Sus scrofa: one gene and its partner. The protein of the gene in region 2 interacts with the protein of the main gene of each other region in a biochemical or structural test. Links are inferred from orthologs where the notes say so. Each region holds a gene or a part of one and is shown on either strand. Other genes may lie near its edges.

Evidence for each region.
Region 1: the proteins of WASL (region 2) and PFN1 form a complex in vitro, tested with the Homo sapiens proteins (2 studies listed by BioGRID). The link is inferred for Sus scrofa from reciprocal best matches to the Homo sapiens genes WASL and PFN1.

The regions. Positions count from the first base shown.
Region 1 is NC_010454.4:51,961,211-51,965,581, reverse strand, and holds PFN1 (profilin-1), read right to left. Parts: upstream 2,941-4,371; 5' UTR 2,741-2,940; coding exon 2,609-2,740; intron 1,145-2,608; coding exon 952-1,144; intron 376-951; coding exon 278-375; 3' UTR 12-277; downstream 1-11. UniProt on the Homo sapiens protein: Binds to actin and affects the structure of the cytoskeleton. At high concentrations, profilin prevents the polymerization of actin, whereas it enhances it at low concentrations. By binding to PIP2, it inhibits the formation of IP3 and DG.
Region 2 is NC_010460.4:23,721,071-23,725,478, forward strand, and holds the start of WASL (neural Wiskott-Aldrich syndrome protein), read left to right. Parts: upstream 1-1,322; 5' UTR 1,323-1,497; coding exon 1,498-1,614; intron 1,615-4,408. UniProt on the Homo sapiens protein: Regulates actin polymerization by stimulating the actin-nucleating activity of the Arp2/3 complex. Involved in various processes, such as mitosis and cytokinesis, via its role in the regulation of actin polymerization.

The DNA of each region.
Region 1 (4,371 bases), on a different chromosome or scaffold from region 2:
CACACAGCACCTTGTTAGAATCTTTTTTTATTCAGAAAAAAAAAAAAAAAAAAAAAAAAAAACCCAAAAAACAAAAAAAGTTTTCCAACCACACACAGGAAAGGGTATGGGTTGGGGGAGGTGTCTGTCCATCCAGCCCTGGCCCCCAATCCACGTGGTTTTGGCAGCAATAAGGGGTGTGGGGTAATGGCCCAAAAAATAAAAATGGTGGATGTGTGTGTGTGGGAAGGAGAGGGGTGCAAAAGCAGTGGGGAGTGAAGGGGAGGGACAGACGAGGTCAGTACTGGGAACGCCGCAGGTGGGAAGCCATTTCATAACATTTCTTGTTGATCATACCACCGTGGACACCTTCTTTGCCCATCAGCAGGACTAGCGCTGGAGGAAAGAGAAAGGAGGCTAGGACCCAGGTGTCACAATCCCACTCCCGCCAGCTGTTCAGCAGCTGTCCAGCCCTGGGGGCTGTAACCCAACCTCATCTTTCCCAACCCCCCACACACAGGCAGGCTGTCAGTCACCCTGAAACAATAGGGCTTTTCAAAAGGGGAAAATCAAGCTTAAAGGCTGGAAAGGAACACAGTAAAATTTAGGGGTCAAAGGCTCGCAGACAGTTGACTCATGTGTTCAGGCTAGAAATGGCTGTGGATGAGCCTGCCACCTCCAAGTTTTAACAAAGAGCCCCAAAGACAAGAGCTCAAGTGCCGACTTAGAACTAACAGCCTACCTCCTCCAAGAAAACCAGAGAGTTTCCCAGCTAAAAAGACTCAAGGCAAGAAGGAACTTAAGAGGTAATACAGTTCAACTTCTTTCTAAGATGAGGAACTGAGACAGAACTAGAGGGACAATCCAGCGTCCCAGGCCTGATCCCTTCATACTGGGGAATCCACAAAGAAAACCCGAAAGATTAGCAGAAGGAGGTCCATTAGGGAAAGGGCAAAAAACTCAGAAACTCACTCTTGGCAGTCATGGTGACAGTGATATTGAAGGTGGGGGCTCCGCCAGTGCTCTTGGTACGAAGATCCATGGTAAATTCCCCGTCCTGCAGCAGTGAGTCCCGGATCACAGAGCATTTCTGGCCCCCAAGCGTTAGCCCATTCACGAAAAAACTTGACCGGTCTTTGCCAACCAGGACACCAACCTCAGCTGGCTGGAAGGGGAACCAAGCACCATCAAGTTAGTCAGTACCCCAAGGTTCCCACCTTCTCCAAGGACCCACCTGCCTTCCATTTCTTCAGGAAGCTAACCCCCCTGGGAGGGGTGTATGTTATGTGCTTTGTACACACCAGTGAAATTTGAGCAACTCAGGACTGTCGGAAGTTCGTGCACAAAAAGATCATGATCCTCAAACTTAGGAGAATGGTAACAGAAAGGGACGACATATTCCCCTGGAGACTTAGATGTCATTTCTTGGGAAAGCAAACCCAGGAAATAAAGGGGGCCAAAAAGGAGTGAGGAGAGTGGAGTGGAATGGACTGGAGAGCCTTTGGATGCTCAGAAGTCTCCTTCAGGAAAAGCAGAAGCGAAGAGGGGAAGGGAGGGGGCGGGCGAAGCAGGAGAAGCAACTTTGCCCTTATTTGGTCAAAGGTTCTACAGGAGTTGTTAGGGGCCCGGACGCCTGGGTCTCTAAGTAACCTTGAGTTCAGGTCCAGGTATCTGTGCTCTAAGAGGAGGAAGCAAGATGTCTGGGGGCATTCCGGGAAAGTTGAAAAACTTTTGGAGGGGGCCTGGGGCTAGACCCAGCAAGCCAGCTCTCGGGTCTTGATACCCCAGGGAAACTCTCTCCCCTCCCCCTTACACCCCAAATCCCCACATCCGGTCCCCTCCCGCCCGGAAATCCCCTTCCCCCCCTTTCGAACTTCCGCTCCCCCTCCCCACTTCCGGGCAGTGTGGACTGGGGAGGTGGTGAGGGGACAGCAGAAGTCATCCCTTACTCCTTCACTGATAATTCAGTCCTAGAACTTCTCACAAAGTTCCCCTGCTCCAGGCCCCGCCGGATGGCGGGAAGGGAGGGCGAGGGGACTTCCGGGATCGGTCTCACAGGAATGTTGAGTCTAACGTGCCGACTGCGGGGGGGCGGAGGGCGTGAGGCGGCCTAGCCCTCTCTAACGGAGCTGGGAGGGGCAGGGAGCGCAGAGGACGGGCATGGGACCTTGGCCACGCGAGCCGGGCTCCCACCGCATAAGGAGGAACAATGGTGGAGGGGGCGCGAGCAGGCGGGCGGAAGTGGAGCTCAGGGTCCAGGGGTCCCCGAGTCCCTTCTCAATCACAATCCCGGGTTGAAACTGCAGCGTGTGCCCGCCCCGCCCTGGAGGAGACGGAAGTGGGCCGCCGCACCGGGCGGCGCGCCCCTCCCCGCCCTGTGCCCCGGATGTAACGCCCCGTCTCGGAGAGCGGGGCCGGCGGGCTGGCCGGGCGCCGCCGCCCGGGACGTACGACTCGGGGGGCCCCGGGACGGACCGGCTCACGTGCAGCCACCATTCGCGCCACTTCCAGGGCCAGGAGCGACCACGGCTTTTCGCTGCGCTCTCCAGAGCGTGCCCGCCCCCACCCAAGTCCCTCCCTCAGGGTCCAAGCCCGGCCAGTTCCCCAGACCCCGCAGGCCTCGCAGTACCGTGATGTTGACGAAGGTTTTCCCGGGGACGGCGGCCCAGACGGAGGGCGAGTCCTTATAGCCCACGATGGCCGCGTCCTGACAGGTCCCGTCCGCCATGAGGTTGTCGATGTAGGCGTTCCACCCGGCCATGGCGCTGCTACTGGGGCTGCTCTCGGGGCTACTGCTGGGGCCGCGGGTTGGGCTCGGGCTGCCTCGGACTGGCGGGCGGGGGAAGGCAGAGAGCTTGGGGCACGCGCTGCCGTCCGGACCGCGGCTCTGCTAGCTGTGCAGCAGCCCTCGCACCGCCACTTCCTGCTCCTCCCCACCCCCCTAGATTTTTATTTGCAAAGGGCGGTGGGGGCGGGGCCTACTCCTCATCCCCTCCCTCCTCCTTCTCGCCTGCCCAGATACCGAACTTTGCAAATGCAATTTAAAAAATCCCTCCCCCTATTGCAAAATTTGCCGAGTTCGATGGGAACCGACGCTGAAAGGATGGGAGGCGGGGGGGTTAGAGTTGGGGCTCGCGCCAATTTGCATAGAATATTAGACTTTGGTGTAGGGAAAGAGAGTGAGCCAGAGGGAGGAAGGAAAGTGAACGGAGAAAGAACTAGCGAGCTGCAAATTTAGCAGATTAAGAGGGTTCGGGGAACTCAGGGTTAAACGGAACGACTCCCCCTTCCCCCACCTCTGCTGTGGGGTTGCGGGGGGAGGAACGGCAGGCGGCGGCAGCGCGTGCGCCCGCGCCTGCGCCGGGGCAGAGAGCGAGAGCGCGTGGGGCGGTTAGGGCCGGCCGCCGGCTTCGCGGGCGCGCGCCGGGGCGCGCCGGGCCGGGCCGAATTGGACCCCCAGCGAAGGAAGGCGGGCCGGGGACGTGTCTGCTGCTGGGCGGAAGGGGCGGGGGTGAGGCGCGCACGTTACCGCTTCTGCACTCTTGATTTTATTTATTCAAGAAATAAAGGCAGTAAAGGGAAATTTGACAAAATACCCCGACCATTTTCCAAGTTGAAGGCGCCCACCGGGGACACTTCTGTCCTCAGCATCTGCACGGCGGCATAAGTTGCACTCGCTGGAGCCCACCCGACTCCACGGGGATTATCCCTCGCGCTGGATCAGCTCCAGCCTTAGGCCTCACTCCATGACTGTGCCCCGGTCAGCAGTTTGGGTCGCCGTCCGTCCCCCTTACCCTGTCTCTGCAGAGGTCACTGAGCCTCGGCGCCCGCGGGGCGCGGCGGGCGGGCCTATTTTTCAAGGCGGAAGAATACTAGGGTTTCAACATGCAACTTTTTCAAGAAGAGGAAAGTCCCTTCTACCCTGGCCCCCTGGGCCTTTTTCCTCTTCTTTTTTCAGTAAAACTTATGCTAAGAAATTGTGTGCGAAGAGTTCGTTCGCCGCCCGCTGGGAAGCGGGTGGGGTTAGGACCCGGCTTAGGTGAACCAGCCCCGGCTGGCCGCCGGGTCCGCTGAGGGGCTTGGCCGCTTCCGGTCCCTCGGGGGAGGGGCGCCTCCCGGGCGTGAAGGGGCTTCGTACCTTCCCCGTCCCCCCCAGAGGGGTGCGGTGCTCCCGAGGCCGCTGCGAACCCTAAAGGCACCCGCCGCCCCCCGAGCCTGGTTCCTCGACAGCCGCCGTGGCTGAGTCACTGGCCGGCCCGGGCGGGGCCGCACGCGGGCACGTGGCGGCGCTCCCCGCCCGCCGTCTCCTGACCTCTGGCCTGCCGCACCCCCTACCCCAGGGTGGAAATCTCCCGAGAGGGAGCGGCCAGAGATAAGGGGGGGGTGAGATGG
Region 2 (4,408 bases):
CGTTTTAATCAAATAGTTTTACCAAATTTTATCTGGCATAAATGTCTTAAGTTTGATATGGGTAATTTTTTAATTGAAATTGAATAATAAACAAACATGATGGTAAAGCTGATGCAACATATGCTAATTTCTCTAAAGTGGAGAAGTCGGATGCTTACTCTATAAATCGCAGCAGTGGGTATTACTTATCATTTCCATATTCCAAAACACCGTCTTAAGACAGCTGTTTAGTATTTAACTTACTGAACAAAGGGGGTTATCCCAGGTAGCTTTCAATATTCTGAGGCATTTTTTTTTTTTTGAAGGTCCCAAGATTTACTTCCAATGATATACAAGATAATGAATTTTCCTGGGGACATCCCAAAATGGGCACATTCATTTTGGATAAAAGGAAAACGAGGTCTTCGGAGTTTGAGAGAAAGAAAAGATGAGGAGGGGAAAAGGAATATTTTCCAATTCACTAAACGAAGGAAAATGTGTGGAATACCCTTCAGAGAAAAAGAGTCTGAATTTAAACGTTACTAATAAGTGTATCCTACGAAACACACCAGCCAGAGTAGAAATCTCTTCTAAGTGCGTCTGCTTTTTCGGGAACATCCAATCAGCAAGGTCTCTCTTTCATAACATTGGGAGAGGCCTGTTCCTTCACTCCCACTGTTGAAGTCTGCACAAACTTGGAGAAACCCTGGGCACCTGCGGCTCTGAAGAAACCGGCGAGGAGCACAAACGAGGGCGTCTTTTCTCCTATTTTCCGTCTCCAGATTCCAACCTTTTTGACAAGCAGTGCGAACGCCCAGCCGCCGCGCCCCAGAAATAAGAGCTATTCTCAGGAGGTGGACCTGGGTCTGCGCTGACGCTTCTCAAAGGTGTGCGTCCGCAGAAGAGGAGCTCAGAGCTGGGCCGCGGAGACCAGCCGTTTTCTCTCTCCTAGAGCTGCCGCGGAGAACAGGAGAGGAACAAGACCAGGAGAGGAGCGAGACCAGACGCCAGAGCCCGCGCGCGACTCGTCGCCCCGCGTCGGAAAACTCAGCCCGCCCGCCAGCGGAAGGGGGCGTGGCCTCGGGCAGGCGCGGCGAAGCCAGCCGCGGCGTGGGGGCGGGAGGGGGGGCCGGCCCGCAGCCGCGCGTTTCCGGCGCGCTCCCCCGCGTCTTGCGTCCTGTGGTCTCGCCCGTCTCCGCTGCCATGTTGGATTGTGCGGCCGCCGCCGCCGCCGAAGGAGGGTTGGAGGAGGAGTTGGGAGTTTAACGCAGTCGCCGGAGTGCAAGGACAACGACCATCCGGCCAGACCCTGGCCGGGCGGGAGCAGAGAGCTTCCCTTTCTCAGCGCGGTCCGCCGACGGCTCCTCCTTCCCTTGGCCTCCTCCCCGTGCCAGAGGAGCTGCGAGATGCTGCGCCTCTGACTCCCCTCCTCCCGCCCCTGTCACCGAGAAGGGGATCTAGCATTCGCCCACTCGCCGGAGGAGACGGCCCTGGCCTCCCAACCCTGCCGGCGAAACCATGAGCTCCGGCCCGCAGCAGCCGCCGCCGCCGCGGAGGGTCACCAACGTGGGGTCCCTGCTGCTCACCCCGCAGGAGAACGAGTCCCTCTTCACCTTCCTCGGCAAGAAATGTGTGGTGAGTGGCCGAGATCCGTGTCGCCGCGTCCTACTTTGCCTCCTGGGCCGGGGCTGGAGGGCCGGGAAGTGGGAGTGGGGAAGGAGGCGGGAGCGGCGCGGGGAGGATCGGGCTGCAGGCCTGGCCTCTCGCGGCCCTGTCTCCGTGTCGGCCCCCTCTGGCCGGGTTTCCTGGGTGCGGGCCGGCGCGGCCGGACGCCACCTCCCGGACCTGTCCTGGGAACAGGGAAGTGTCACCTCTGCAGGCCTGCCTTGGAGCCCAGCTTGGCCGGGCCCGGGTCCGTGTCCTGGCTGCTGGCTCAAACTTTACAAACAGTCCTCTCAAGGGGATTTTCTTGCAGGACCTGCTTGATCTTAGTAGTTGGGCCCCTGTACTGGCCCCAGTTTATCCTCCTGCGGCCTGATTTGGGGGCACCTTCTTTCACAATGCCAAAGGTTTCAGGAGTATGTAGATCGGGGACTGAAGCCTAAATATGAATGAAACGACCCATAAGGTGGTTTTTAATCTCCCTTGAGGTTCTCAGGAAGAAGTGAAGTCGAGTGCATCGGTTCAGAACGAGGGCAGGAAGCACTACTACTGCTCCCCATTGGAGAGGAACAAGGTTTATTTCTCCAGCAGTCTAGCCCAGGCCTGGTTTCTCTCTCCTCTTGTTTCGTTTTTTGCATTGGTAGGAGATGCTGCTCTCCCGCAACCAAGCTCAGGGGAATCTCGGTCTCCTGCCGTTCTTGGCCTTTTGGAGTCTGAGAATGGTTCTTAGGCTGGTGCTGTGCGGCCTGTTCCAACCCCAGATGGCGGGTTGGGAGCGAGCCGTTCTGCTGTGGGAAGGGGAATGTGTGTTGTTGACGGAAGCATTCATTACATTGGCTGCTGGCACTTCTGGGGGTGGGGAGGTTCTGCTCTATGGTGGAGGCCTTGTCAGGCTGCATCTTACTGCAGTGGCTGGGTTGAACCGTGATTGAGTTTGTTGAAACGCTGTTTGGGTCCCTTACTCCCCTCTCTCCTGGTGAGCACCTGCAGAGTATGTGCCACTGGAACCCAGGAACTACCAAGGGAAATGTCAACAGAGATGTACTTTTTACAACTGTTCTTAGTAGTGTTAAATGGATCCAGAGGACACCTGCTTGTTTAAGAAGTTAAGATTAGACAATTTTTGAGAAGTTACCAAATTAATTGTTAACTTTATAGTTTACCCTTTGTATCCTGTGCCATCCAGTAGGAGATTGAATCATTGCATTCAATTCAGATGTTTCATATTTCAGAAGTTAGGTCTGAGTAGAAGAATAAAATGAGTAGGGTGGCTTAAAATTAGAATTTGGAAAACAACCGTAAAGACATTCAAGCCCCCTACTTCCCCCACACACTTTTTAATCAAGTGAGAAAACTGAGCCAGTGAGCCCTAAGTCACACAGCAATTTGGTAATGTAACCAGAACTAGAAAACCAGGACACCTGATGGCCAGTCTATTGTACTTTCCACTACATCATGTTGTTTTAGAAGAGTTTTTTCCTTATTTGTTATAGATTTATTTCCAAAAGTGATTTTAAAGGAATAGTCACTTTTTTTTTCACACCAGAAACTGATAAAATTAAAGTATAAGATCCTTAAAGGAGCACTAGTTTTTGCATATTTTCAACTTAGGAAAATCTCCAATACTTTGAAAGTAACATTCATTGTCTGCAAATGAAAAAAATTTAAAATTTTGCTGGTTTACTGCTTTTGCTATGTAATCTGTGTCAGAAAGGAAGTAGTTGTACTATGTGTTAGTTACCAGACACATTCAGTTTAGACAGGAAGGACATTACATTTATAAACAGGTATACTGACTCTGTGCTTACCTGTTATGTTTACTGGTTTCAAAAAATGACAAATGTTGAAGAATACAGGGATAGAAAAATATGCTATTGCTTAGTGGTTAATGTAGGTGGATTGGCAAATAAGCTGTCAGTACTCAGTGCATTTTGGTTTTTGTTTTTTTGTTTTTGGTTTTGTTTTTTTTCTTTTTAGTGAAGTTCCCAGGCTGGGGGGGGGGGGGTCAAGGAGCTGCAGCTGCCAGCCTACGCCACAGCCTACAGCCACAGCAATGCGGGATCTGAGCTGTCTGTGACCTATACCACAGCTCACCGCAATGCCAGATCCTTAACCCACTGAGCAAGGCCAGGGATTGAACCCGAATCCTCATGGATATTAAGTTCATTACCACTGAGCCACAATGAGAACCCCCAGTGCTCAATTTATGTCATCTATTACTAATCAACTTTGCCATTGGGATTTCTGTCATTTAGAACCACACTATTATAGTTACCTGCTCTTGTGGTATGAAATGGTTGCAAAGATTAACTTTAATATTTGAAATCTCCAATTATTAGAAAATAAAGAGTGATATTTTTATTTTCTGGAACAACCTTATTTTCCTTCCTTTGCTGACTGTGCAGTTTTTTGTACAGTACTGAAATATATCTCATTAAAAAAATTAAGCAATGAGATTTACAGGTCAGACCAGATTTATTAAGTAAGATGTGTATTCAGAGCTCAATTTAAGAATTCAAGAAATGAAATAGGCGTACTTATAGTCACTGCTCTCAAGGAGTTTCATTCCTTCTTTCATTCAGCAGACACTTAATGAGTAACTAAATGTTGAGGCCAAAACCAGGGTTGATGCCTGCCCTCAGGGAGCTTAGGATGTCCAAAAAGAGAAACAAATGTGTCAACTGATGAGTAAGTCAATACTTCAGAGTGCTAAGAGGCTGCATGTCACAGTGGAAAATATCCTGGTTGTGATCAGCAGATGGGGCTC